2 linked regions of the Danio rerio genome follow. The protein of the gene in region 2 binds, or shares a complex with, the protein of the main gene of each other region. Links are inferred from orthologs where the notes say so. Each region holds a gene or a part of one and is shown on either strand. Other genes may lie near its edges.

What was found. The genes of interacting proteins can lie anywhere in the genome.
Region 1: the proteins of gabbr2 (region 2) and kctd16b are in contact, whole or in part, in a crystal structure (PDB 6M8R), measured with the Homo sapiens proteins. The link is inferred for Danio rerio from reciprocal best matches to the Homo sapiens genes GABBR2 and KCTD16. Residues at the interface, in NP_005449.5 of Homo sapiens: Ile882, Asn883, Ile888, Gln889, Arg891, Leu892, Ser893, Leu894, Gln895, Leu896, Pro897, Ile898, Leu899; in NP_001357415.1 of Homo sapiens: Asn30, Gly32, Gly33, Gln34, Val35, Tyr36, Asp64, Leu65, Ala66, Lys67, Asp68, Ser69, Arg72, Phe74, Gly79, Phe80, Arg83.

The regions. Positions count from the first base shown.
Region 1 is NC_133196.1:44,213,640-44,217,879, reverse strand, and holds the start of kctd16b (BTB/POZ domain-containing protein KCTD16b), read right to left. Parts: upstream 2,805-4,240; 5' UTR 2,736-2,804; coding exon 1,931-2,735; intron 666-1,930; exon of another isoform or gene 442-665; intron 1-441. UniProt on the Homo sapiens protein: Auxiliary subunit of GABA-B receptors that determine the pharmacology and kinetics of the receptor response. Increases agonist potency and markedly alter the G-protein signaling of the receptors by accelerating onset and promoting desensitization.
Region 2 is NC_133194.1:36,756,636-36,760,759, reverse strand, and holds the start of gabbr2 (gamma-aminobutyric acid type B receptor subunit 2 precursor), read right to left. Parts: upstream 2,802-4,124; coding exon 2,490-2,801; intron 1-2,489. UniProt on the Homo sapiens protein: Component of a heterodimeric G-protein coupled receptor for GABA, formed by GABBR1 and GABBR2. Within the heterodimeric GABA receptor, only GABBR1 seems to bind agonists, while GABBR2 mediates coupling to G proteins.

The DNA.
Region 1 (4,240 bases), on a different chromosome or scaffold from region 2:
GATGTGAATATTCTTGTGCTTTGGATTTCTTTTATCCAGAGTGTTAGTATAGCTTGTCCCAGTCATTCTATATTTACGGCTGAAATGCCTGTAGAGGTGCTGCAGGATGAAAAACATAAGGGGATTCTTAGTTCTGATTCAGAGTCTGAAATATCTGATGCTGATGATCTAGACTATGTGCCACGAGGTCAATCTGGAGAGGACATCAGACAGGACAATCGAAGATAAAGAGGTGCAAGTTCTGCCCAGCTGCCGAAGGCAGAAAAGTCAATAGCTGGTGTTCTATGTGCAAGAGGCCTGTGTGCAAGCGTAAACGTGCAGTTGTCATTTGTGATAAACATAAGCACTGAGATGGCACTGTTCCTGTGTAATTTTATTTTGTCAGTGTTTTGTTCTTATATTGATAACATTCATTCAATCATTCCTTCATTTTCTTTTCAGCTTAGTCCATTTATTATTCTGGGGTCGCCATAGCGGAATGAACCGCCAACTCATCCAGCATATGTTTTACGCAGCGGATGCCCTTCCAGCTGCAACCCAACACTGGGGAAACATCCATACAATCTCAATCACAGTCATAATAAATGATAAAAATTTCAGCTTGTTATTATTTATCAGTGATTGAAATGTGTGGAAAAATGTTAAATAAACATATTCCAGATCTTAAATGTGTTTGTCTGAATAACTGCTAAAACATTATTCTTTTATTAAGGCATATGCATTACAGTAACACTACAGTGATAACATTCATTCAATCATTCATTCATTTTTTTCCGGCTTAGTCCCTTTACATATGTGGGGTCACCACAGCAGAATGAACCGCCAACTTATCCAGTACATTTTTACACAGCGCATGCCCTACCAGCTGCAACCCATCTCTGGGAAACATCCAAACACACTCATACACAACGGACAATTTAGCTTACCCAAGTCACCTGTACCACATGTCATTGAACTGTGAGGGAAACCGGAGCACCCGGAGGAAACCCACGCGAATGCAGGGAGAACATGCAAACTCCACACGGAAACGCCAACTGACCCAGCTGAGGCTCGAACCAGCTGCCTTTTTGCTGTGAGGCGACAGCACTATCTACTGCGCCACTGCGTCGCCCTGTATTGTATTTTACTTATTTATTGTTTTTTCATGTTTTCACAGGTGGGTCATTTTTGACCCATGTGTGTAAAATTGATGTTGTAATACAAAACCTAAGAAAATCAATAATTTATGGTGAATGAAAAAAAATATTTTGAATATTGATGGATAATTAAATTCATGTATAAATGAATATATAATGCTGAAATAAATATTGCTTTTAAAAGATGAAACCAAAAAATGCCCAGGGAAAAGAGAAAATAACATAGGAAATGAATACGGGTTATTTCAGACCCATTTAGTGCATTAGAAGGGGTTTTTATAGCTTGTGTATCGAAGAGTTAAAAACTATACTGCATAGTTTTTATGCCTTATTAATAAAATATTAAATAACTTTACTGTAAATCACTGTATTTTCACCAAATTCAGTCCACACATCAACACTGTCCTGATGGTTATACTAAAAAACTTCTGTTAAAAAAAAATATATATATTAATAATTTTTATGAAGTTTTGGTATGAAAAATATTTAATAACTTTAATGTAAATCATTGTATTTTCATCCAATTCAGTCCACACATCACTGCTGTCCTAAACATTGTCCCTGTTAATCACTGCTTCCTGAGCATTGTCCCTATTAAACAAATAAATTCAAATTTAAATAAAGAACAGGTGCTAAACTGGCAGTATGTTTTTTGTCCATATGAGACCTTTAGTGAAAAAACGGAGAAAAAAACAATACAAAAAAGGCGCGCCGTCTAGTGGTATTTTTAAAACAACCTCAGATGGAACAAGTAATTTCAAAACAATAGACAAAACATCTGTGGAGAAACTTACGGTAAAAGACGTACTCAGTGTAACTTGACCATATCTTGTCGTCTGTATGCTGGTTGATAATTGAGGCTGTCACAGACGAGTTACATGCGACCATCTGAAAACCACACTCCGAGAGCATGTCGAAAGAGCGCTCAAGGTGCTTGAACTTTAGGTAAAAGCGGGATGTGTACTTATCAGCTGTCCTGTCAGGGTCCCTGCTTTCGTTTAGGGTCTCGCCAAAAACTTCTTTGGCCAGGGCAATCCTGCCGCATATCATAATCCGAGGCACCCTCCGGAATTTGGCATCGGTTCGATTTTCCCTACCCATTGTACAAGACCCGCGATATCCGACGGTTAAGAATCCGCTTTTTCTGTCGGCGAGAATGAGTGACGGCGGAGGACACATTCGCTGATCGCTTCCTTGAGACCCGTCCTCGTAATCACTGTGGATATATTCATCGGAACTAGGTTTTAGGTCGTCAGGGGTTAAGAGTTTAACCAAGTCAGGCAATTGAAAGTATTCCGCTTCTTTCCTCAGCCTTCCTTTCTCTGGAAAGTGGTCAGGAAGAACAACCTGTTTATCCCTGAGGTAGTCTAACACGTATCTGAACAAAAAACCATCCCGGTCGATGAAATAACGACCTTTAGGGTCCCTGGCAAGATCATTCGATGCATTATTTTTGGGAGAGAATATTTTTCCCAAAAGAGAGCCAGGGGTATTGATTAACGTAGTATAACGTGTATAATAGACTTGTCCCCCCACGTTTAATTCAATAACATCTGGAAAAGAGCTGTCTTTAGGTTTAGAATTTCCACTCAACGCCATCGTTTCAGTGATGGGTGCAAATAACAACAAAGTTCTGCTCTTTTCCAATGATCCACAGATTCGGGAGTGTTTTAGGAAACGTCGATTTTTATGCACATTAAATTGCAAAAGAAATCACATTTCAAATCTGAACCGATAATTGCACATATTTTTAAATGCACATATTCTCCACAGGGCTCAAAAAAAGAGAAAGAGCAAAATATCCGAGGAACTGCACACCTACATCCTAGAGTCGAAGAATTGGTAGCTCAGCAGGGCACACAGCGAAACACTGGGGTGTGCTTCCTTGCCTGAAAAAAAAAAACTAGTGCATTTGCATAAGCATTTAAAAACATCATATAATAAAACCATTTAATCTTTCAAGGAGAAACAAAGTTTATTCCAAATTAAGCAACGATCTGAATCCAACTTTTGCCGACCAAAGAGAACAGATTACATAGTTTCAAAAGATAAAATCTGACGACAGTTTCAGCACAATAGGGTTGATCAATAATCCAAGCGGTTAAGAAAAAAATTGAGTGTGTGATCCTCTGGAATAATCCAGGTGTTGTGCGTTGGTGGGGTTTATGGTGAAAGATGATGCAGCATCATACTCTGTGCGCTCGCGATCGAGGGCTGTGGCACGAGAAAATAACTGCCTCAGCTGTTGTTGCCTCGGCGGGAGGAGGAAAAGAAACATAATGGGTTATCAAAAATTACATCATCTTAAAGACGTATGCACACAATACCGTGGTGTTGCGGGTATTCACACCATTGTTTGATATAGGCAGTCAGCTTTGTTAGCTAGTTTATGCAGACAACATCAGATCCTTTCGTGCATTCCAGCTTCAAATAACAAAAAAAGTAGGGTACTACCAGGTTGTGTCGAGTGGAGTAATCCGCTGATTTCAGAACCATGGACAGTGAAAACAAGGTTCCATCAAAGTTCTTTAAAGCATCAACATTACACACTATTAATGAAATTCATAAGCGATGTATGCATACAGTTTTATTATGTTTCTATTATTGTATTCATGTTATAATGCTCTAAATGTGTTTGTCTGTTTAAGTCAAAGAAGTGTCGGCCGTCAAATAACAAATGGTCGCTATTTTAAAAACAAAGAACACCTTAAATATAGCGTCTACTTTCATGTTTAAGTAATCTACTGTTTCCTATAATGTTTGTTTATGTCTCAGCACACATCTACACGTTTCTTTTTTTTCTTTTGCAATATTAAATACACGCTTTTATAAAATGTGTATATATTAGGTGAAGTCAGAATTAATAGCCCCCCTTTGAATTTTTTATTGTTTTTTTGCTTTTTTAAATATTCCCCAAATTATGTTTAACAGAGCAAGGAAATTTTCACAGTATGTCTGATAATGTTTTTTCTTCTGGTGAAAGTCTTATGTGTTTTATTTTAGCTAAAATAAAAGCAGTTTTTAATTTTTTTAAACACCATTTTGAAGACAAAATTATTAGCTCCTTTAAGCTATCCTTTGAGCTATCCTTTTTCGAAAGTCTA
Region 2 (4,124 bases):
AAAGAATTACCTGTGGACCAATACCTGTGTACAGTGTTAATCATTATGATCATACCTTCATAGTCAAATAACAATTAGCCACTTTCTAAGTCTCTAAGTCTTCATTTACTAAGCCAGCACTGACAGTGAGTGTTATAAAGCTGAACATTACCACCATACATAACTGTTTTGAAGGTTGCACTTACTGTACATATCATAACCATAATCAAGCAAACTGTTTAATTGACCAATTTACTAATCAATTAATGTCTAGTTTGCTTGCTTTGTGTTACAATATTTTCCATTTGTTCAAATGTGCGGTATTTTCTTTACTTATCCTCAAAAACCTTCTTGAAATCAAGAAAAGATCCATTAATTACTGCCATCTTCAGGTAGCCTATAAAGAAAGCCAATGCTATACTTAAATAAAACACTTTGAAGCCAGCCTAATCTGCTTTACTGGGGTCCGTTCTTCGTACGTGGATTACTCAGTTAGCTGGATTTGGATATTGACGATTTGACACGATCCAGGATCGTTTCGTTCTTCAAAGCTGATTCGAGAGTTGTTGTCATGGCAACAGATCTGCTAGGTCAAACCTGATCGGGAGCAGGTTCAAATCATATAAACAGGATTAGATCGGCTCAGTTCAAGCAAAGATAATACAGAAAGTATGTTCTGAATTCTGATATTTTCTTACAGTAAAAATTATATACACTTGGGAAAATAGTAGTTTTTAACTATATATTTAAAGTTATAGTCATTAATAAAATAAATAAAGTTATACATATTAATAAAACGTATGCAATCTGCACCCTCAAAATGAAAGTACAAAGACTGCCACCTGGTGGTGCAAAGAGAAAACTTATTGATATGAACTTTTTAGATCGCTTTAGTACAAATTGTTTATAATAGAAATGCACAATATGTGACTTTTTTTAAAAGCAATAATACATTTATGCAGTCACAAACATGTTTTGACAGTTAATATGCCAGTGATTTGATGCTTCACAAAAGTTGCAGACGCCTTTACCAATATCAAAATGCTTTTGGAAACAACCAGTTATTCTTTACACCGATTAAAAAACTGTACTATAATAAAGAAAATCTTTTCTAAATGTAGAACTAAATACATTGATTTGCATTGAAATACATGATGAATACTCTTGTCTTGACAAATGAAAGTGTAAAGCCTGCAGCTCACAACAAATGTGGAAGGTTATTGCGTGTCATATTTAACAAACCGTTTACTGCTAATTTGATGTAATTTTGCTCACATGGATAATTGAATATTAATCAGATGATGTCATTACGCTGCTGTGCCGTCAGCCAATCGCGTGTGCCAAAAGCCATTGCTGATCATGATTTCGAGGATGGATAGATCTGTCCTTAACAACAAACGCAGCGATCTCAGATCAGTTCATCCAGACATTCTAATCTGATTCGCGAACTTGTTTGAAGAACCAAATAAGCGAGAGATCAGTTATCAAGATTAAAAGATCCAGGATCTGCCAAATCATCTTAGATCATTTAAGCGAGGTACGAAGAACGGACCCCAGGTCTCCCCAAGGAAGTTTACGTACTCTAGTGTTGGGTTTTTCCCCATATATGATGAGGGATCCCCCATTCTAAAATGTAAGTGGGAACTATAGAATTTCTAGAGCATTATTATAATATAAAACAAAGTTTATAATAAAATAACGTTTCTACTAACTACAGTACTGCATTCAATTATTGACATTTTACTATTTAATTGTATCTAACTTTGTGTCTTGTGTATTTACTTTTCGTCATAATTCAGTTTTTACTATTTGTCTGAATCTTATTTAATCATTTTTATATTAATTATTTTATTATTAATTAATTAAATCATTGTTTGCTGCTTTAATTTTGATGTATGTTTGTATAAAATGCACATTTAATGCAGTTTTGTTGACTTATTTGGTAATATTTTAACATCTATTTTACATTTTTCATTCGCTTTTTCCAAACGTTCCATGAACCCCCAGCCCTCCCTTGTGGTTCCCTGGTTCCCAGTTTAAAGGCCGAAAAGTCCATCATGAACCAGATAATAACAGAAACCATTTAGTCTGGTTTAAGCTGTGTTTCGTGAAATATTATATTTCGAGTGCCAGTCAAGAACTATAAGGTTTGTGTAGCTGCAATTTCAGAGTGCTGATTAAAAAAAACACTGACAAATGAACAGTAATCTCTTCATGCAAATGAACAAGAGAAATGGTTTCTGTAGGTAACTGGTGTCCAAGTAAGAAAGAATTAAGCAATATACGGCATGAACAGCCACTGGCACGTGCAGAGATCGTCAAGACAGTGCAAAACCTTTACATTTAACAAGCACAAACTTGCTTTTCCAAAACTCTGATGAACATCAATCACTCGACATGGCACAAACAACCCCAGAAAAATCGCGTTTTCCACATGAGCGCGCGCCGGACGCACGCTGCCCGCAGTTTACCCCCGCAACAAGCACGTACACGTTCCCGCACGCATTTACCTCTGTGTCGTAGATTTTGGTGATGAGTGAGAAGGAGTACTGCCTGGACTCGCGGATGTGCTGAATGGCCAGCTGAACGGCCGGTTCGATGCCCTGACTGATGCTGCTCATCAGCGCTGATTCATTCATCGGCATCAGGACCATGATAGGCAACTTCTCACCATCCCTCGCGTACCAGTTGTTGTCCAGGCCGTGCCTTGTGTAATCGTTGCAAACCTTCGCCAATGCAGGTTGAAATCCCAAGACGGACAAGAGTAGGCATCCCGACAGAAAGATCATGTCACATCTGCAGTCCCTCCGGGACGGAGCCATGCTACCGAACAACTGAGATCCACCTTCTCACTGTCCTCGCATCGCAGTCTTTAGGTTCCTCTTGGATGCTGCGATCAGTCAAAGAGAAAAAGCATAATATGCAGCAGTAGAGGCTCTCGCGCACTCGATCTTGAGAACAGAAACGGTGCGTAAAACCAGAAGGTGTCCAGTCGCAGGGTTTATAAACTAAGCTTATTTCCCTTTTAGGGTTCCTTATCAAATCCGATCAGACACGATCCTTCCTTTCACCTCCAATAATGCGCACATCCCAATCCACCGCCTGTGCGTTACGCAGAGGTACAAGCGCAATGATTTGAGTCAACCTCCGCTATAGCGAACGTAAATACAACAGCCCAATATATTCCAAACATTTGAGGAGTTGCATCCCTGTGTGGAAAGCGCATAGGTGAGAGACGCTGGAGGACGAGCCCTGGTATGTAAAAGCAATTCCGAGTGAGGATATCCGTGCGACTCCGATGCTGCTGCTTCGGCGGATGCGCTTCACTTCTTTCGCGCGCTGACCGCGCTGTGCATGTATGCGTGCGCGCGTGTGTGAGCGCGCGCGACACAGGCAGAAAACATTTCCCACATTTCCAGAAAAACAACCGAGTGAAAGAGCGACAGGGCAGCTGTTCACTCGTAACGCGTTCAATAACCTACATACTGTCCCTCAGAGGTAATATGTGAGGTAAATTGACCACCTGCGCCCAATAGACTGCGTTTTAAAAGATGTGTTTAGTAGCCCACGTAAACAGAACAGAGACGTCGATTGCAATATAAGCTAGTTAGTTATTGATTGTTATATTAATCCCTGCGCAAATAGTTAACATCCTACATATAAGTCAAATCATATTGCACATAGTTTTTTCTTTTTTCTTTTTTTTTTGGTCATCGACAAACATTACAGCAAAATAAACACTGCCACCTAGCTATTACAGCCCTGTATGTGACTAAAGTTCACTTTTTCCTCAAGTTACTGGGAATCATTTTACTTGAAGCTAAAATAAGTTTAACTCCGACATTTAGCTAGATTTAGTTTGCTACAATAATAGCCTAAATAAACATGCAAGTGATTTCACAACAGTGCTACTCACCGGAAGTTAACTCTGACTGAAGACACGCGAGATTAGGCCAGGTTCAGCGTTTCTGTCCAAGGTGCTGAAAACAGCTGCGACTCAACTCTCTGTGGCTTCGCTCATGTCAGCACCTCGTTTCATATTTCGGCTGGACTACGCCTAAATTTGCACGTGGTAATGCTATCTGTTGTATATAATTATGCTTTGCATACATTTGACAAATACCGTGGACGGAAGATAAAAGCAA